2 linked regions of the Macaca fascicularis genome follow. The protein of the gene in region 1 binds, or shares a complex with, the protein of each later gene. Links are inferred from orthologs where the notes say so. Each region holds a gene or a part of one and is shown on either strand. Other genes may lie near its edges.

Evidence for each region.
Region 2: ING5 (region 1) and BRPF3 share a complex: the UniProt entries of both Homo sapiens proteins name them as parts of the MOZ/MORF complex. The link is inferred for Macaca fascicularis from reciprocal best matches to the Homo sapiens genes ING5 and BRPF3.

Annotation. Positions count from the first base shown.
Region 1 is NC_088386.1:137,645,175-137,655,808, reverse strand, and holds part of ING5 (inhibitor of growth protein 5), read right to left. Parts: intron 6,443-10,634; coding exon 6,276-6,442; intron 4,468-6,275; coding exon 4,356-4,467; intron 3,874-4,355; coding exon 3,780-3,873; intron 872-3,779; coding exon of another isoform or gene 866-871; intron 1-865. UniProt on the Homo sapiens protein: Component of the HBO1 complex, which specifically mediates acetylation of histone H3 at 'Lys-14' (H3K14ac) and, to a lower extent, acetylation of histone H4. Component of the MOZ/MORF complex which has a histone H3 acetyltransferase activity.
Region 2 is NC_088378.1:135,456,414-135,467,047, forward strand, and holds part of BRPF3 (bromodomain and PHD finger-containing protein 3), read right to left. Parts: intron 9,843-10,634; coding exon 9,711-9,842; intron 7,385-9,710; coding exon 7,256-7,384; intron 6,971-7,255; exon of another isoform or gene 6,956-6,970; coding exon 6,643-6,955; intron 6,070-6,642; coding exon of another isoform or gene 6,041-6,069; exon of another isoform or gene 5,920-6,040; intron 5,914-5,919; coding exon 5,611-5,913; intron 3,550-5,610; exon of another isoform or gene 3,530-3,549; coding exon 3,023-3,529; intron 1-3,022. UniProt on the Homo sapiens protein: Scaffold subunit of various histone acetyltransferase (HAT) complexes, such as the MOZ/MORF and HBO1 complexes, which have a histone H3 acetyltransferase activity.

The DNA.
Region 1 (10,634 bases):
CAAATAGAAAACTAATAGCAAGATGGTGAATCTAAATTCTACCATATCATTAATTATGTTAAATATGAATAGACCAAATATTGCAATGAAGGCTGGGTGCAGTGGCTCACGCCTGTAATCCCAGCACTTTACAGGGAGGGGAGGCCAAGGTGGACAGATCATTTGAGGTCAGGAGTTCGAGACCAGCCTGTCCGGCATGGTGAAATCCTGTCTCTACTAAAAATACAAAAATTAGCTGGCCTTCAAAGGATTTCAATTATATAATGTTCTTTGACTACAACAGAACTCAACTAAAAATTAAAATTAGAAAGGTATCTGAAAAATCCCAAATTATTTGGAAATTGAGACACATACTTCTACATAAGTTATAAGGCAAAGAAATAGCATGAAAAAAAAATGCGGCTGGGCGTGGTGGCTCACACCTGTAATCCCAGCACTTTGGGAGGCCAAGGCGGGTGGATCACGAGGTCAGGAGATTGAGACCCTCCTGGCTAACACGGTGAAACCCCGTTTCTACTAAAAATACAAAAAATTAGCCGAGGGTGGTGGTGGGCGCCTGTACTCCCAGCTACTCAGGAGGCTGAGGCAGGAGAAAGGCGTGAACCCGGGAGGTGGAGCTTGCAGCGAGCCGAGATCGCACTACTGCACTGCAGTCTGGGAGACACGGAGACTCTGTTTCAAAAAAAAAAAAAAAAAAAAATTCTAGGCGAGGTGTGGTGGCTCACGCCTGTAATGCCAGTATGTTGGGAGGCCAAGGCAGGTGGATCACCTGAGGTCAGGAGTTCAAGACCGGCCTGGCCAACATGGCAAAACTCTGTCTCTATTAAAAATACACACAAAAAAAATTAGCCAGGCATGGTGGTACATGCCTCTAATCCCAGCTACTCAGGAGGCTGAGGCAAGAGAATCGCTTGAACCCGGGAGGCAGAGGTTGCAGTAAGCCAAGATTGCACCACTGCACTCCAGCCTGGGCAACAGAGCAAGGCTCCGTCTCACGAAAAAAAAAAAAAAAAATTATATTCCAGCACTTTGGGAGGCCAACGTGGGTGGATCACTTGAGCTCAGGAGTTTGAGACCATCCTGCGCAACATGGCGAAACTCCATCTCTACCAAAAATATAAAAAATTAGCCAGGCATGGTGGCATGCACTTGTGGTCCCAGCTACTTGGAAGGCCAAAGTGGGAGGATATCTTGAGCCCAGGAGGTGAGGCTGCAGTGAGCCAAGATCATGCCACTGCACTCCAGCCTGGGTGACAGAGCGAGACCCTGTCTCAAAAAAAAAAAAAGATCAAGATAAAATGAGAGAAACATAAATTACCAATATCAGGACTGAAAGAGGGACCATCAACACAGACACTACATCCGAACCATAATAATGCAAAATTATTAACAACCTGATGTCAACAAAATCTGACAACTTACGTGAAACAAATTTCTTGAAAGACACAGATTTTGTCCAAAACTGACCCGAGAAGAAATAGAAAGCCTGAAAACTTCTATAGCTTTAAAGGAACTGAATGCAGCATCAAACTGTACATTTAGAACAACATTTCATTGCATGTAAATTATTCCTTAATAAAGTTAATTTAAAAAGTTAGAAAAACAGGACTAAACTATAATGTATAGTGTCTAGGAATGCACTATAAAACTATTAAAGAAACAAGGAAATAAACACTAGAAATCTGCATCATGTTTATTTGGGGACAGAAGGAGTTTATGATTTTAACAGGGCATATGGAAGGCCTTCCAACTGCAGCTAACCACTGACTAGGTGCTAGTTACAAAGACCTTCACTTTACGGAAATTAATTAAACCATGTTTGTTCTGTGCGGTTTTCTGTATCTGTGCGCTACTTTACAAGACAAGAATATAGGGATTTTTTTTTTTTTTGAGATGGAGTTTCGCTCTGTCGCCCAGGCTGGGGTACAGTGGCGCGATCTTGACTCACTGCAACCTCCACCTCCCAGGTTCAAGCAATCTCCCTGCACCAGCCTCCCAAGTAGCTGGGATTACAGGCAGATGCCACCACCCAGCTAAGTATTTTGCATTTTTGGTAGAGACAGGGTTTCACGGTGTTGCTCAGGCTGGTCCTGAACTCCTGACCTCAGGTGATTAACCCGCCTTGGCCTCCCAAAGTGCTGCAATTATAGGCGTGTGCCACTGCGCCTGGCCAAAAGGCTAAGCACTAGATTTCAAAACTGAAAATTGCAGCAGGGCACAGTGGCTCACACCTGTAATCCCAACACTTTGGGAGGACAAGGCAGGTGGATCACGAGGTCAGGAGATCAAGACCATCCTGGCTAACGAGGTGAAACCTCATCTCTACTAAAAATACAAAAAATTAGCTGGATGTGGTGGCATGCACCTGTAGTCCCAGCTACTCAGGAGGCTCAGGCAGGAGAACTGGTTGAACCTGGGAGGCAGAGGTTGCAGTGAACCAAGATTGTGCCACTGCACTCCAGCCTGAGTGACAGAGTGAGACTCCATCTCAAAAAAAAAAAAAAAACCTGAAAATTGGGCCGGGTGCAGTGGCTCACGCCTGTAATCCCAGCACTTTGGGAGGCTGAGGCGGGTGGATCACCTGAGGTCAGGAGTTCGAAACCAGCCTGGCTAACATGGTGAAACCCCATTTCTACTAAAAATACAAAAAAGTAGCTGGGCATGGTAGTGCATGCTTGTAGTCCCAGCTATCCAGGAGGGTGAGGCAGGAGAATTGTGCCATTGCACTCCAGCCTGGGCATCAAGAGTGAAACCCTGTCTCAAAAAAAACAAAAAACAAAAAACAAAAAAACTGAAAATGGTGCCTTTTTTGTCATGAAGAACTCTTTTTTTTTTTTTTTTTGAGACAGAATCTCACGCTGTGGACCAGGCTGGAGTGCAGTGGTGCGATCATGGCTCACGATCCTCCCAGCTCAGTTTCCCTTAGTAGCTGGGACTACAGCCCACGCCACTACACTCACCTAATTTTTTCTATTTTTTGTAGAGATGGGGGTCTCACTTTGTTGCCCAGACTGGTCTCAGATTCCTGGGCTCAAGTGATCCTCCCGCCTTGGCCTTCGAAAGTGCTGGAATTATAGGCATGAGCCACCATGCCCAAAACTGACACTCTTTGACCACTCCCCACCAGAATCATCTCCATAGAGGCTTTGTGGCATTTCAGCATTTTCTCTTTAGTCTAAATGTCACTCCTCCGAGGTAATGCTCTGATCTCTTTGGAGGGTACACAATACCTTTGGCAGGGAGGGTGTCAGTGGGAGAATGCTTTAAATAAAGTATCTCAAAGAACTTCAAGTTAAATGACATGTCTATTTAATAAATGTGGCCACATAATTTAACAATGAATATATGCAAACTATATACTGACACATAAAATAACTGACAGATACACAGAAATCTAGCTACTTGAAGAGTGGTTTACATTGGCCTCTGTCAACAACACGCTCACCAACCTACTGTCCCTAGCGGGGCAGCACACACCGTGGCTAAGAAGACAGGCACTGGAGTCAGACTCCAGGTGCAGGCCCAGCCACACCACAGCAGCTCTAACGCCTGGGCAGGTCCCTGCGACACGGAAAATGCCCAACAACGGCACCCCCTCCATGGCTGCGGTGAGGACGGGCTGATGACAGGCACACAGCATAAGAACCAGAAGAACCCGAATGCTACCCAGCACACGGAGTGCACTTCACTCAAGGGTCAGCTTCCATCAGTGTTTCTACATCCGGGATACTGGCTATGGGTATTTGTTCTTCTGGGAAAAAGAGGGGAAAGCCTCTTACCCTCCTTTATGCTTCTTTTTCTTTGGTGTATCTTCCTCTGATGTCCTCCTGCCTCGGCCCCGGGACCCTCTTTTTTCTTTCTGACCCCGGCCTTCTGAAAAACAATCAAGATGAAAATTATTTTTATAGAATTCGCTAAAGCAAGGCAAGTTTTGTGTTTTGTTTTTAAGAAGGAGTCTCGCTCTGTCTCCCAGGCTGGCTGGAGTGCAATGGAACAATCATAGCTCACCGCAGCCTTGACCTCCCAGGCTCAAGCAATCCACCCACCTCAGCCTCCCAAGTAGCTGGGACCACAGGTGTGCACCACTACACCCGGCTAATTTTTAACTTTTTTGTTGAGATGAGGTCTCACTATGTTGCCCAGGTTGGTCTCAAACTCCCAGCCTCAAGCAATCCTCCTGCCTTGGCCTCCCAAAGTGCTGGGGTTACAGGCGTGAGCCACTGTGCCCAGCTTGCAAGACAAGGTTTACCCAAATATGATACTTACCCTAGTGATCATACTTCAATGATTTACTGTGACAAAACTTCAAAACGCCATAGTTAACAGTAATAAAGAAAAAAATTTAACAGACTTGCTTTTTAACCCTCGCCCTCCGGAGCTTTCAAAATCACTGCCCTCCATCTTGTCCTTCAGATCTGCCTCAAAGCGCGCCAGGTCTGCGTCAAGCCTTCGAATGTGTTTATCCACCTACAAAAGGATACCCAAAGTCTTGTTTTAAAGTAAAACTGAAACACCTTAGAAATCACAAATGTACAAAAGTATCCACTAGGAAATGCCTTCTTGCCCTTTAATTGAGTCGTCAGTGAACAAACCTCTGCTAAATCCAGGCCCACTATTTCAAAGTCCATGCAAGGTCTTGTGCTTTTTCTGCATATTTTGACTGCAGTGGAATGAATCCCATTTAAGGAAAAGACAGGCGTGTGGGCAATAATGAGAAGCAGAGTTGTGAAATGCGGTGAACAAGGCCTGGGATATCTGACGCTGAATCCTACTTTAAAATGTGGCTACCTGGAGGCCAGGTGCAGCGGCTCACACCTGTAATCCCAGCACTTTGGGAGGTCGAGGCAGTCTGATCACCTGAGGTCAGGAGTTCGAAACCAGCCTGACCAACATGGTAAAATCCCGTCTCTAATAAAAATACAAAAATTAGGGCAGGCGCAGTGGCTCATGCCATAGCCCCAGCACTCTGTGAGGCCGAGGCGGGTGGATCATTTGAGGTCAGGAGTTCGAGACCAGCCTGGCCAACATGGCAAAACCCCATCTCTATTAAAAATACAGGCCAGGCACGGTGGCTCACACCTGTAATCCCAGCACTTTGGGAGGCTGAGACAGGAGGATCACCTGAGGTCAGGAGTTCGAGACCAGCTTGACCAACATGGAGCAACCCCATCTCTACCAAAAATACAAAATTAGCCGGGCTTGGTCGTGCGTGCCTATAACCCCAGCTACTCAGGAGGCTGAGGCAGGAGAATTGCTTCAACAAGGGAGGCGGAGGTTGTGGTGAGCCAAGATAGTGGCATTGCACTCCAGCCTGGGCAACAATAGCAAAGCTCTGTCTCAAAAAAAAAACAAAAACAAAAAACAAAAATTAGCCTGTTGGTAATGCCTGTAATCCCAGCTACTCAGAAGGCTGAGGCAGGAGAATCGCTTAAACCTGGGAAGTGGAAGTTGCAGTGAGCTGAGATCATGCCACTGCACTCCAGCCTGGGCAACAGAGCAAGACTGTCTCAAAAATAAAATAAAATAAAATAAAAAATAAGTAAAATAAAATAAAATATGGCCACCTGGAGGTTGGGCATGGTGGCTCATGCCTGTAATCCCAGCACTTTGGGAGGCTGAGGCGGGCGGATCACTTGAAGTCAGGAGTTCGAGACCAGTGTAGCCAACAGGGTGAAACCCCGTCTCTTCTAAAAATGTAAAAATTAGGTGGGGGTGGTGCTGCATGCCTGTAATCCCAGCTACTTGGGAGGCTAAGGCACGAGAATCACTTGACCCTGGGAGGCGGAGGTTGCACTGAGCTAAGATTACACCACTGTACCCCAGCCTGGACGACAAAGTGAGACTGTCTCAAAAAAAAAAAAAAAACCAAATGGTTCCTCCGAGCAGATACACAAACAAAAAGGGTCCAGAAAAAAAAAAAAAAAAAACAAGGATGGTCCCACATGAAGTGTATCTTGTCTGTATTTCCTCCAGCAGCGTCAGGCTACCAAAGCTAGCCTTCCACTTGGCTATGCCCATTTCTGGGCAGTTTTTACATTTTGTTGCATGAGAGGCAGTAGAGGTCGGAGGAAGACCCATGGCCCCCGCCCCGCCCTCACCATCTCATAGGTCTGCGGGTGCCGTGGCCCCCGCCCCGCCCTCACCATCTCATAGGTCTGCGGGTGCCGTGGCCCCCGCCCGCCCTCACCATCTCATAGGTCTGCGGGTGCCGTGGCCCCCGCCCGCCCTCACCATCTCATAGGTCTGCGGGTGCCGTGGCCCCCACCCACCCTCACCATCTCATAGGTCTGCATGGCCAGCTGCACTTTGTCATCGCTGTATTCCTTGCACTTGCTGTAGGCATTCTGGATCTTCTGCAGGCGCTCCACGCGCTGGTCTGGAGATAGCGTCTTCACCGTGGAGATGTACTCTGCAGCCAGGATGTCAATCTCTGCTTTCTTATCTGATGGAGAAATGGGGGAAAAGCTAGCCCTGCACAAGACACCACGATGGGCTCACTAGACCGGCAACAACTAAAGTCAGCCAACACCAAGTTGTGGCAAAGACGTAGGCTGACATGAACTCACGCCGTGCTGGTGGGAGTGCAAGTGGGCAGAACCGTTCTGCACAAACAGTCTGGGATCATGTGGATGTGCAGACTTTACGGCAGCGTGCCCAGAACAGTCCCAGTTCTGAATGTTACACAGCAGGTGGTCACAGTGCCCTCTTTGACTCTCAAACATCCTGTGTGAATAATTAATTATGTAGTCACCTTTCCTATGCCCTGGCATACTACTCTTTTTTTTGTTTTCTTTTTTTTTCGGTAGAGCAGTCAAGAAAGAACATACTACTCTTAAACACCCTAAAGAAACCTTATGTAACCTAAAGAAATACACGTGGGAAAACATTCATAAGAGCAGGAAACAGAAAACAACCCAAATGTCCAATCCTCAGTGAAATGGAGAAATCAGATGTGGTCCCTTCAGACAACAGAGTGCTACTCAGCAACAAATAGAGCAAACCACAGCTACACACAGCAACACGGATGATTCCCACAGAAGGTGACACAGAGCAAAAAGAGCAAGAAACAAAAGAAAACATACCGGATGATTCCATTAATACAAAGGGCAGAAACAGACACAGCTCGTAACTCTTTGGTTTAGAGAGGTAAGAAAACTACTGTTGAAGGCCGGGCGCGGTGGCTCACGCATGTAATCCCAGCACTTTGGGAGGCCAAAGCAGGTGGATCATGAGGTCAAGAGATGGAAACCATCCTGGCCAACGTGGTGAAACTCCGCCTCTTCTAAAAATACAAAAATTAGCTGGGCGTGGAGTTACGCGCCTATAGTCCCAGCTACTCAGGAGGCTGAGGCAGGAGAATCACTTAAACCCAGGAGGCAGAGGTTGCAGTGAGTCGAGATTGTGCCACTGCATTCCAGCCTGATGGCAGAGCGAGACTCCATTTCAGAAAAAAAAAAAAAAGAAAACTACTGTTAAAGGTGGAAGGTGACTATCACCAAACTCAAGATGGTCACCCCTTGGATGGATGGGTGTCATGACTAGGAGGGTCACAAAGGTCTTCAGGTGCTAAAGGGCTTGATTTCTCCATCTCAGTAGCAGAAAACAGAGAGGTTCACCTGGTAATATTTGTTAAGCAATCTATAAATGTTGTACCTCATTTCTGAATATATGTTACATTTTGCAATTAAATAACTCTCTATATTCCCTAGTCAAGATGCTGTACCTAAGCGAAAAAACACAGCTATCTCAGTCTTGCAAAACGTGTGCCTAGGCCGGGCACGGTGCTCATGGCTGTAATCCCAGCACTTTGGGAGGCTGAGGCGGGTAGATCACCTGAGGTCTGGAGTTCGAGACCAGTCTGACCAACATGGAGAAACCCCATGTCTACTTAAAATACAAAAAATTAGCAGGGTGTGGTGGCGCATGCCTGTAATCCCAGCTACTCAGGAGGCTGAGGCAGAATTGCTTGAACCCAGGAAGTGGAGGTTGTGGTGAGCCGAGATCGTGCCATTGCACTCCAGCGTGGACAGCAAGAGCGAAACTCCATCTCAAAAAAAAAAAAAAACAATGTGCCCAGCATAATGCATAAAAAATCTCAGGCCAGGCATGGTGCCTCACGCCTGTAATCCCAGCACTTTGGGAGGCCAAGGCGGGCAGATCACCTGAGGTCAGGAGTTCGAGACCAGCCTGACTAACATGAAGAAACCCCGTCTCTACTAAAAATACAAAATTAGTCAGGCATGGTGGCGCATGCCTGTAATCCCAACTGCTTGGGAGGCTGAGGCAGAAGAATCACTTGAACCCGGGAGGCAGAGGTTGTGGTGAGTCGAGATTGCGCCACTGCACTTCAGCCTGGGCAACAAGAGTGAAACTCCATCTCAAAAAAAAAAAATAAAAGACTCCCACACCAAAACACATTACCATGAAATTTAAAACTTCAGAGATACATCTCAAAAGCTTCTGAATAGGAATAACAACAACAAAAAAAGATCACACATATAAAGGACCAAGAATCCAAACAGCACCAGATTTTCTGCAGCAACGTGGAAGCGAGGAGACAAGGCAGCAATGCCGCCAACTTCCTGAGTGAAAACAATTGTCAACCTGGGATTCTATACCCAACCAAACTATCAACTGAGTATGACGCTAGAACAAACACATTTTTAGACATGTTACGTTACAAGAAAATCTACCTTCCTTTTTTTTCTTCTTTTTTTGAGATGTAGTTTTGCTCTTGTTGTCCAGGCTGGAGTGCAATGGTGTGATCTCGGCTCACCGCAACCTCCACCTCCCAGGTTCAAGTGATTTTCCTGCCTCAGCCTCCCAATTAGCTGGGATTACAGGCACGCGCCACCACACCCGGCTAATTTTGTATTTTTAGTAGAGACGGGGTTTCTCCATGTTGGTCAGGCTGGTCTCGAATTCCTGACCTCAGGTGATCTGCCCGCCTCGGCCTCCCAAAGTGCTGGGATTACAGGTGTGAGCCACCGTGCCCGGCCAAGAAAATCTACCTTCCTATGGGCCTTTTTTCAGGAACCTACCAGAGGAAAGGCTCTATCAAAACAGGAGAGCAAGTTAAAAAAAAAGAGGACATTTAAGATTCCAGGAAGAGGGTCCCACACTGAAGAGGGGTGAAAGGAGATCCCAGGAAAACCTCAGGGCAACAAGTGTGCAGTAGGCCTAGAAACAATCAGGACTGTGGCCTCCAGGACAGAGGGTTCCATGGAAAGAAAACACACACAGAACTGTCAGGGTAGACAGCCTGACACTCAGACCAAACGGAAAAGCCCAGCCTGGGAGACGAGGGTAGAATGCAGAAAAAAAAGCCAAGAAACAAGGCAACGAGTAACTCTAAGAAATACGCAAAGTTGGCAGGGCGCGGTGGCTCACGCCTGTAATCCCAGCACTTTGGGAGGCTGAGGCGGGTGGATCGTGAGGTCAGGAGATCGAGACCATCCTGGCTAACATGGTGAAACCCCATCTCCACTAAAAATACAAAAAAAAATTAGCCGGGCATGGTGGTGGGCACCTGTAGTCCCAGCTACTCAGAAGGCTGAGGCAGGAGAGTGGCCTGAACTTGGGAGGCGGAGCTTGCAGTGAGCCGAGTGAGCCACTGCACTCCAGCCTGGGGGACACAGCGAGACTCTGTCCCCAAAAAAACCAAACCAAAACAAAAAAAACAACAAAAGAAATACGCAGACTTATTCAAAAGGGGTCAAATATATAAGCACAGCAGGTGGCATGGCTCAGTGTTAAAGTACCTACACGGTTGCCCAATGGAAGTCCCATCACTGGTCTCACCACAAATTCCAACTAACTACAGCCAGGAGATGGGGGAGCAAGGTGCAGGCAGGTGAGCTGGTGGGGGCCACTGGAGAAGTACAGCTGCATGTGCCATATATGGCTGAACAAAGTTTAAAACTGACAAAAGATAAAATAAGAAACAACAACTAAAACATGTTGTTTAGAAATAGGGAGTTTAAGGGCCGGGCGTGGTGGCTCATGCCTGTAATCCCAGTACTTTGGGAGGCCAAGGCAGGTGGATCATGAGGTCAGGATATCAACACCATCCTGGCTAACATGGTGAACATGGTGAAACCCTGTCTCTACTAAAATTACAAAAAATTAGCCAGGTGAGGTGGCATGTGCCTGTAGTCCCAGCTACTCGGGAGGATGAGGCAGGCGAATCACTTGAATGTGGGAGGTGGAGGTTGCAGTGAGCCAAGATCGTGCCACTGCACTCCAGCCTGGGCAACAGAGTAAGACTCTCTCAAAAAAAAAAAAAAAAAAAGAGAAATGTAGTTAGGGCCAGGCATGGTGGCTCACGCTTGTAATCCCAGTACTTTGAGAGGCCAAGGCAGGCAGATCACGAGGTCAGGAGATCAAGACCATCCTGGCTAATACAGTAAAACCCCATCTCCACTAAAAATACAAAAAAAAAGAAAAATTAGTCGGGCATGGTGGCAGGCACCTGTAGTCCCAGCTACTCAGGAGGCTGACGCAGGAGAATGGCATGAACCCAGGAGGCGGAGCTTGCAGTGAGCTGAGATCACGCCACTGCACTCCGGCCGGGGCGACAAAGAGAGACTCCGTCTCAAAAAAAAAAAAAAAAAAAAAAACAAACCGGAGTTAAA
Region 2 (10,634 bases), on another chromosome or scaffold:
GGATTTGCTTCTAATTTCAAATCTCAATTATCAGGTAATCTCTGCCTTTTTCAGGAGCCCACCCACCTTGCCTCTTCAGATAAACACTCACATAACCTATGCCTCACATAGCTGGCAATAGCTAGTTTGATTCTTTGGGGGTGATGTCAAGAGAGACTAGAGAAGGATAAGGGCCCTTTGTCAACCACACCCTGAGATACCTCGCAGGGCTAATCCAAATTGAGGATGGGGGTACTCTTCAGCAGAACTAAAGCAGCCCAGAACTTCCTGGCAGGGAGAGTCAGAACCTGGGGTTCTAGGCTGGGCTCTGAAACACAGGTTCCTTTTCTCTTTCTTTGAGGTCTCTTGACCTCTCCTTTTGTGAAGTGAAGATAATACCTTACTTACTATTCAGTATGTATGAGAGAAGGTCTGTTTACAGTGGGGAGTCCTTCAGAGGCGAATGAAGGCTATTTGGTCATCCCAGGTATGTGACCTTGAAGTGAAGGCTTCTACTCTCCTATCTATCCACATTTATTTTTCTATTTTTTTGAGATAGGGTCTCGCTGTTGCCCAGGCTGGAGTGCAGTGGTGTAAACAAGGCTCACTGGGGCCTCAATAGCCTGGGTTCCAGTGATCCCCTGCCTCAACCTCCTCAGTAGCTGTGACCACAGGCATGCACCCTATGCGCAGCTAACTTTTTAACTTTGTAGAAACCGGGTCTTGCCATATTGCTCAGGCTGGTCTCGAGCTCCTGGGCTCAAGTAATCCTTCTGCCTCAGCCTCCCAAAGTGCTGGGATTACAGGCATGAGCCACTGTGCCTGGCCTTTATCTAATTGCCAACCACACTAAAAGTCCTATAATTATAATAGCTGAGCCAAGAGGTGTGCGGAGATGGACCAGGCACCTGATTTGAAAGCTGTAAATTACAGACACCTTAACTAGAAAACTGTGAGGCAAGTCCCTTCTATAAGAGCAGGTGTCTGAGCCACAATGTCTATCCTGTGACCTGGTTCTGCCTCTAACATTATTACCACAATTTAAATCACTGAAGCCATCTGTGTCTTGGGTGCCTCACTTACAAAGGATCAACACCTCTTTTTGTGAGATTCAACTAAGATTGTATAGAAGTATTCCTGAGTGCCAGGCAATTGGGATGGTGAGAGAGAGACAGGATTCTAGCAGTATCTCCAAGCAACAGGCCCCCTCAGGTTGGATGGGCCTCATGTACAGTTACTTCCCAATAGCAGGATCTCTCATTCTTTTAATGCAGTGTTCTCAGCACTGTATGGCTAAGCCTGATTCAGCTGAGAGGATGACAGTAACTGCTACCATCTACTGCTATATGCCAAGTGCTTTATAAAGGGTATTTCTAGTTCTTAGAACCCTGCAAAGGTACGTATCAGAAACCCCCTATTAGGAATAAGGAAACAGGCTCAGAGAAGTTAACTAATTTTCCTGTGGTTACACAGCCAGTAAGAAATTGGGGATTTGAGCACAGGTATGCCTAACTTCAGGCCTTAGGCTCTTGCCTCTATAAACCAACTTACTCCCCTGACACAGAAAAGTTTTGGCCAGATGAGATGGGAAGGTATTGTTGAAAACAAAATGTCAGGCAAGAACACAGAAAAGCAAGTGCTGGCCACACAGTCCAAAGTCACCACATAAAAGTACATGAGAGACACAAAAAGCAAAAGCCAAGAGCAGCCCTCCCTGCCAAGAAAGTGGGTCTTCCCTAACCCACCAAGACCTAAGTACTCTGCCCGGCTTCAAAGTCCTTCACATTCAGTCCCATCTTACCCATCCAGTCTTGGCTCCTGATGCTCTGGGAAGCCCCTCTCTAAGCTGTCCCTCACAGAGATTCTGTCCTCCTCCTTGTTCCCACAGACCCAGGCCTGAGGCCTTCATAACCATTCCTTGCCAGTCTGCCCTCATCCCACAGGGCCAGCTCAGGCCAACTCCTACAGCTCAAATTCCCTGAACACCTCTAGCAATGCTACCTCTCACCTGACAAATAACAACATACTGTTCACCACTGTGATTTCTCTACATTTTGAGAGACTCATTTGCCCAATGGCCTGTGAACCTTCCAGAGCTGGAATTAAGTCTGACTTATTTTATTACTTCCCCACACCTACTCATGACTAGCTCTTGCTCTTGCTGGATGTATATTAAGAACACTTTAGGCGGGGCGCAGTGGCTCACGCCTGTAATCCCATCACTTTGGGAGGCTGAGGTGGGTAAATCACTTGGGGTAAGGTGACCAGCCTGGCCAACAGGTGAAACCCTATCTCCACTAAAAAAAAAAAAAAAAAAAAAGAATTCTCTTTAGTGATGGAACCTCCATTATCTACCTCTATCACCACCTCACCCCACTCCAACCCCTCTACTGCAGCCAAACTGGTTCCCTCACTGTTCCTCAGACATGCAGGCATGTTCCCACCTCCAGGGCCTGTGTACTTTCTAGTCTATCTTTTTGGAATGTTCTTCCCCTAGACATACAAATAGCTCATGCCTTCAATTCCTTCAGATCTTTACTCAAACGTTACCTCTTTAGAAGACCTGGCCACCATCTCTAAGACCACCCTAGAATTCCTTCCCTGCTAGATCGTTCTCCAAAGCTTCTAATACAAGATACAGTTTACTCATTTGCTTTTAATGTATTCCCCCATAAGAGAGGAGATTTTTGTCTGTTTTGTTCATTGATTTTTTCCCCCAATGCCTAGAACAGTGCCTGACACAAATATTTGATGAACTGAAATGAAGGTAGGAATCATTTTACTTTATACAACATTGCTTTACCCTCAGGGCCAATGAGAGTCCCAGACACAATCTGGCTCTCTGGAAAATACCTGCTCAAAGCCTATTTCCCCTGGCTGCTACTCACATGCCAGGCCCAACTGTGAGCTATGGTGCCCTCAATGCTACTATTGCTGTCCAATGGGGCCATTAGAGAGATGGCCAATTGGGGAAGGTGCTGATTGGCAAGGCAAAGCAGAAAAGCAGATGCGAAGTATCAAGAGAAGTCACAGGCAGGGTCACCTGTCTCTTCCTCCTGCTGGGGGGACCTCTCCCCTTCGCTCTCACTACAGCTCCCGCTCCTTGGCCGCTTCCGGGAGTGGCGCTCATCCTCGATGCTGGCTGGAGAGGCAGGAGAGCCTGCCACACCATGGTCCTCGCCATTCTCCAGGGCCCTGTCTGGGCTTCTCTGTAGCTTAACCCCATTCTTGGCCTTCTTGAAGAGGACTGATGTGCGGCGACCCACACCACTAAGTGGGGTACCGCCCGGGGTGTCAGGGGCCATGAGGGATAGTCTGTTGATGCCATTGTCACTGAGCAAGCGTTGCAAAGGCTCACTCCCTAGCTGCAGCGGTGATTTTTCCAAGAGCTCATCTTCTTCCACCTTTCTGGGCTTTAGGAACCGGCTTGGAGGTTTGCTATCATTGATGGGTTTCAGAGTTGGGGGCTCCGGCGGGGATTCTTGCTCAGACAAGGAAGGTGCAGGCCCAGTGGGCTCCAGGGTTGGTGGAGGAGGCAGTTTGGAGTCATCTATTAGAAAAAAAGAGAACCTGCTTGAACATTTTAGAAAGAGTCTGCTCCTACAGGCTAGATACTGACACTGATAACCAAGGACCAAAAGCATGGGCTGTTACAAGGCTTGAGATGCATTCAAGGTCTTAGATCTGAACAGGCTAGATACTGACACTGATAACCAAGGACCAAAAGCATGGGCTGTTACAAGGCTTGAGATGCATTCAAGGTCTTAGATCTGAAGCAAAGAGAAAGGAGGATTAGGTTTGTTTTCTTTCAGAGACAGGATCTTGCTCTGTTGAGCAGGCTGGAGTGCAGTGGTCTGATCACAGAGCACTGCAACTGCAAACTCCTGGGCTCAAGTGATGATCCTGCCTCAGCCTCCAAAGTAGCTAGATCTACAAGTACACACCACCACGCCTGGCTAATTTTTTAAAAAAATTTTTGTAGAAACAGAGTCTTAGTATGTTACCCAGGCTGGTCTCAAATTCCTGGTCTCAAACAATCCCCCTGCCTCTGCCTCCCAAAGTGCTGGGATCACAGCGATGAGCCACTGTACCCAACCCCAGAAGAAGTAAGTTTTATCTACACTAGTAGTTCTTAACCCTGGCTATGTATAAGAATCACATAGGAAGTTTCTTAAAAATTCCAGTGCCTAGGCTCCATCCCATACCAACTGAAACCAAATTTGTAAAGATAGGCTATTTGTTTTTTAAAGCTTACCAGGTGAGTCTAATGAAGTGAGGATTGCAAACCATTGCTCTACACCCAAGAAAGTCACATGCTTAATCAATAAATAGGTAAGTCTCAGCTTGACAGATTAGGTATCTACAATTCTCACTGGACTCAAGAGTTTTCTCATCTGTCTTTCGAGTTTATTTCACATCACCCAAGTGACAGCAAGTACAGCATGCAGAAAAAGTTCAAAAATGTGAAAAACAGAGACCAAGTAAGTTAAATCAGTGGTTGCCAAACATGTCTGCTCACCTACCACCTTGAAACTTTTAAAAATTGAGACTTCCAAGCCAAAGCCCAGACATCCCTAACTGAATCTATGGGAGGTGAGGCTACGACATGTTTGTTTTTTTTTTTTTTTAATTTTCTAGGCGATGCTGTTGGCCTACTGGGCACAACTCTGCACTGCCACAGCCCCAGAAGTAGGGATACAAGTGGCATGCTGACTGTCACATGGGGAGTCCAGAGGAATCACAACGGACACAAAGCCCTCTGATGTCAAATGTGATCTCTCAACCATGTCCCCATTCTCTGCCAACCTGAAATAAAATGGGCTGTTACCTACAATCTGGGCCCCTATCCATTGGAAGTAACTTCCAACCTTTTGAACTGTGTGTGTGACAGGCTCTCCCAACCTGTAGGCTCAGATCCAAAGGCAGGTATGAGGGAGACAATTCCATCCCCAATGAAGGGGAAGAATGAGAAGCAGCTTAGCTTATAACGTTCCTGGGTTTCTGAGAATCACTTCCCCAGCTGTCTTTTCTTCTTTTTTGTCTTTTCTCAAGATTAAGAAAATCTGTGGAAACCAACTATCTTTTATAGTCTGGCCTCTCTACTTGAGATGGGCCTATAGATTCAGCCAAATGGGGTAAAAACCATGAGGTGGCTCAAAAGCCCGGGGTCTTTCCTTCTCTGCTATCCCCTCACATCCCAACCTAACCTGCTCTAAGAGTCTCTCCACATGATGATACAAGGTAGGCTGATATTTAACTGGTATGTACAATATGGCTGTATCAGGTGCAAAATACTGACATACTTAATTGGCTAATAAACAGCTGCTGGGCTGCAGCACCTGAAACTCCCCACAATCCAGCAACTAAATATTCACATCAGAAGCCTTTGGGAGCCCACTCCAATACAACAGCCAACATTTACTGAGATGGATAAATTTTGGTCTCTATTGATTGTTAAATATTTTGAACATCATCCCTGCGTATACATGGAAATGTGACCCTTCCAAGGGCTTTTGCTTGCCCATAAGTGTCAGATCTAAACTCGGAAAGGATACCCCATTATTAGATTTCAGCTTAGCCTTTATCCCTCTTTACCCTCCAACCCCCTGCCTGCCTGTGACTATCTCTCACCTCTGTCCCCATCGTCTTCTGGCTCCTCCTGCAAGGCCTGCTCCAGCACAGCTGCATCCCCCTGGGGCCCTGCTGGCAGCTCCCCATTGGATACTGTCTTGTTCAGTGATGGTGGCTGTGGTGGTGGTGGCTGTGCCAGCTTCTGCCGAAGGGCATTGATCTCCCGGCGTAGCAGGCGGACACGGCGGGTGCGGGCCCCACTGGACCGCATGGCGCTCACCAGGTCCAGTTTCTCCAGCAGCTCCTTCAGCTGCACCTCTGGGGACAAATGGGCCCGGTTCTCTGGGATGAGGATGTTGTCCACTGCCAGGGAGAAGGGAGGACAGAAGGGGCTGAAGGACCTGCCCAGCACAGGGCAAGAGAAAGGGGCCGAATCCTTCGGATGCAAAACTCTCTCTTGGAATGCCTGGGCCAGCAGCTTCCAGCAGCGTCACTGTGGGCCTTGGCCCTGCAACACCACTGCCCAGAAGGCAGCCACAGGGACAAGGTCAGAATCTGGGAAACGTCTGCAGGAAGCAGTTCACAGTCACGATTATGGGCTCCATGGAGCAGGCATGAGGCAGCTTGGCAATACCCTGGCCTGAGTGACTGGCTGCTGCCATCGAGAAGCAGAGAGCAGGGACAGGCAGCGTGTGGGGCTCAGAGGCAATTCCATTTTTCTGGTCCTCCACCTGCAATCTTCTGAATGAGCCAGACACACACCAGCAATGCACTCTCCCTGTCCCATGCTCCAATGCCATACAGAGGGGATCCAAGAAAGGAAGACCTCTGATGAGGCTTTAAGCTTTTCAAACAGACCACTAGTACCTGATTCCCCTTTTCTACCACTTAAGAAGTGCTGAGTGCGTTAGTTAAACTTTAACCCTTAGAACTATTCTAGCCACAAAGGTATACCTCAGTCTGTGCTCACCCTCAGCTTTGCTCCTGGAGTCTACCTATAGTCCCAAAGACCACCCTGATCCCTCACTCTGTAGACTCTGTTCCTGTGCCTCCTCCTGGCCCCTCTCCTCCCCACCCATCCAGGCCTCTCACCGTCTTCCCAGGAGAAGCGGTAAAAGTCTTCCAATTTGGGTGACTCGGGCAGGTGAGTGCCCCTCTCGGGGTCATAGCCGATGTTCTCTGCCTGCCGCCGGGCATGCCGTAGGATGGCCCCTCCCAGGTCCCGCAGGCGGACAGCTGCTCGGTGGAAAATTGTGTCTTTAGCATTATACTTCATGCAGTTGGTAACTATAAGGTTAAAGTCCTCCTCAAACTCCTCCAAGGTGCGGTACAGGTGGGACTCCAGCTTCCGCCTCATAGTAGAAAAATCCATTGGCTTGGATATGAATTCCAGGTAATCTGGAACCTAAACATATAAAACCTGTACAATTACAACAACCATTTACTAGCCAAACAGGCACACCCTTCACCAATACTCTTGGCCTCCTCGGTTTCTGATTTGGCCAAGCCAGGCTAACTCAGAGTCCTATGGTCCTGGCCCACCCTGGCCTGCTGACCCCTCATCAAGGGCAAATCTACTAGCTTTGCCAGACCCACCCTCCTACCCCTGGTTTTGTACACCCTGTGGCCCAACTCCTTCCTACCCTACTCAGACCCTGTTCCAGTTCAGGAAGAATTTACTACTTGGAAAGTGGGGGGAACTTGCCTCACTCAAGTTGACTGGTTCTGCGAAGATGTGTGCAGGATCCTTCTCCTGCAGCAGGTCCAGTGTTGTCCTCAACAGAACATTGAATGGCATCAACTCCAGCTCCATGGCAGCCTGCTGGACTTTGACCTGTGGGGAAGGTGGGGTGAGATCAGATCAGGACATCTCCTGCAAAACTGTGCTGAAACTTTTTCGTGATAGCTTGACTTTTACCAATCATGTACAACAAATTTTCATAGAATATTGAGCTGACCAGTATGAGGAGCTATCACTCAACCTTCAGCCTAGGAATAATGATACCAACAGCTACTATTTTATGATTGTTTCCTATGTACCAAACACCATACTAAAATTTACAGTAATAATAATTATCATTACAATTACAATAATTAACACTTCTATAGCCCTTACTAAATGCCAGGTAATGTTCTAAGCATTTTATGTAAAATAAATGAGTATATGAGGTAGGAACAGATGAGGTACTTTACAAAGAGGAAACTAAGGCACACAACGACTAAGTAACTGGCCTAAAGTCATAGCTAATAAGGAACGGAGTTGGAATTCAGTACCAGACAGTGGTTCCACAGTGAATGCTCTTGACCATTATGCCACACTAACTCTGTACTTGTATTACCTCTATTAATCATCACGATAACCCTGAAACAGAAATTATTATCCCCATTTTACAAATATAGATCAGAACAAGGATCACCAAGGACTAAAAGAAAAAAAATACAAATTAAAAAAATATATATACGGAATCTGAGGATTAGAGAGAGCATGATGCAAGAGTTATTACTCTAAGGTTATCTGGCTAGAAAAGAATAGAGATAGGATTTGAACCCAAGTCTGACTAGTCCAAGGGACACAATGATGATGTAAAATGTGCTTGAATCAGAATTTCCCATTCAGTGTGCTGAGGTACTGATTCCATCAGCCCTTGGAGCATCTGGGTCAGCATGGGGTCACCAGGGCCTCCAGGTTTACCCCCACAAGTGGCAAGTAGCTTCATATATTTACAGTAGTATGCTGTACAAATGCTATTTTCTACATATGCCCCAATGTGAAAAGTTGGGAAGCCACAAATTAAGACTATAGAAAATTCCCACCTTTTGGCTATATCAAAACAGGCCTGCCTACTTCCCCAGGACCAGGGCCTTTTTCTCTCTCTCATTTCTCTGAATCAGAGATGAGATAAGAAGTTCAGCTGTGGGATCATGCCTGGGATAGCACAGACATTTTGAACCCTTGAAGAAGGTCCTGAGATGTCCTCCATGGCCACCCATGGTAAATATGGCATGAGATGCCCAGGCTATGAGGAGGAAACTCAGGCTACTGGCCTGCTAGAAAAGGGGTTGTGCTAAGGCTGAACAATGAATTAGAATTTGGAGAAAGAGAAAGAAACATCTTTTTTTTTTCCTCCCTTTTTATGGAGAACAGGTCTTGCTTTGTTGCCCAGGTTCGTCTCAAACTCCTGGACTCGACCTATCCTCCTGCTTCTGCTTCCCTAAGTGCTGGGATTACAGGCATGAGCCACTGTGCCCGGCAAGAAAGGAACATCTTTAACCCGGGCCTCTGAAGCATGTGAGCGACAGCTGCTATTCCTAGCCCAGAGAGAACAGTTTTGGCTTTTCATCTACTCAATTAATAGTATTTGCTCTCTGCCATGTGCAGTAGACACTGCAGGGAAGCAAAAAATTGATAATAATAATAATGACAGCAGCTGACACTTCTCTGTCACTATGTGCCAGGCACTGTTCTAAACTCTTTACATAGACTAAGTCTTCTAATCCTCAAAACAACCTTATGATGTAGGCTCTATAATTACCCCCATATTCCAGGTGAGAAAACCGATGTATTAAGCGATTGAAGAACTTGCTTAACGTCACATAGGTAGTAAGTAGAAGAGGCAGGATTTAAACCCAGGAAGTCTGGTGCCATAGCTCATGTTCCTAAACCACTATATTACACTACCTACCTCAACATTTCCTATGCTCAGGGGCTTAAAATCTCCTAGAACGGAGGATAAATAGAAAATTTAAATGATTCAAGACCATAAGTGTTTAAGAGTCAAGTGGGAACCCTCAGAAGTTCCCAGGCCAGAGGCTTTCAACTGATGATGCCCATTAGAATGGCCTAAGAAGCTTTCCAAAATCCTCAAGGCCAGGCTCCCTCTGAGACTTCCTGAATCAGAAATTCCAGGGACGGGCCCAGGCATATATATGATATTAAGCTTATGCTTGAGGCTACCAGGAGCTGAAACCCAAAATATAGAAACCACCAGTAGCACCACAGCTAATACAAAGTAGGCAGCTCTTGGAGCCTACAATCCTGGGTAGGGAGGGGAGAAAGCAAGCTAGCATAAGGCAGGGGCTCCCAGATTTCCCAATACTAGACTGATAGTGGGAGAAAGTGACCTTGAACTAGGGCTCTAGGGCTGGGGGCTCCTCCTTACCTGCTCCCGTTTGAGCTTCTCTCTCTTCCGAATCAGCTCAATCAGCAGCCGCGCCCGCTCCAAGTCATGCCGGAGCTTCTGCCAATACTTCAGCTCTTCCTTCACTGCACTTGTCTTCTCATCTTGCTCTCGCTGCAGGAAGGAAGAGAAGAGGGACTAGGAATCTCCTTCTTGCAAAAGTCCTCTCCCTGTTCACACCTCCTGGGGCTGCAGCAGGTAAAAGTCTTGTCCCCTTCCTTGACCCACAGTTCCAAGAGCCCTTCCACCCTTCTCTACCCCATGCCTTCCTCCTGAGCTGCCCCAGTATTATAGCACTGTTTCTTCATTATAAAGCAATAACCTTTGCTGGAGTAGGATCTGGGACTGCTTCCCCCTACCCCCAGGTATACCAGAGAGCAGCTATGGCCCTTTGGGTCAGAAAGAATTTCATTAGGAAACTGACCTCAGGGGTGAAAAGAATTTCACCCTAGAGCTTTCACTTGGCTAGAAAACAAAGCGAGGTTCTTACTATAAGCTTGAACATACTTTGGTAAAACAACAACAAACAAATTATGATTCCTGCCCTAGAAAAGATTACAGTTGGAGTCAGGGGAAGGGAAGAGACCTAGAGCTTGAAGCACAAGGGCATATTAGCATAAAGATAATAAAAACTAATAATATAAATGCTAAGAGGATACAAAATAGAAGATCTGAGTAGGTGGAGGTTAGATCAGAGAAGCTTCCTGGTGAAGAATCTTACTAGAGTTTTACATATAGGTAGGTGACAGACATGGATGGACAAAGTAGTAAGGAAGGTCTCTCCTGGAACCAAAGGTATGAAAGGGGTAGAAATGTAGAGGCAGAATTAGTGATTCTTTGCTTAGTAAGCAAAACAGGCTGACCAGAACAGAGATGCTGGAGAACTACAAAAGTCAAGGAAGATCC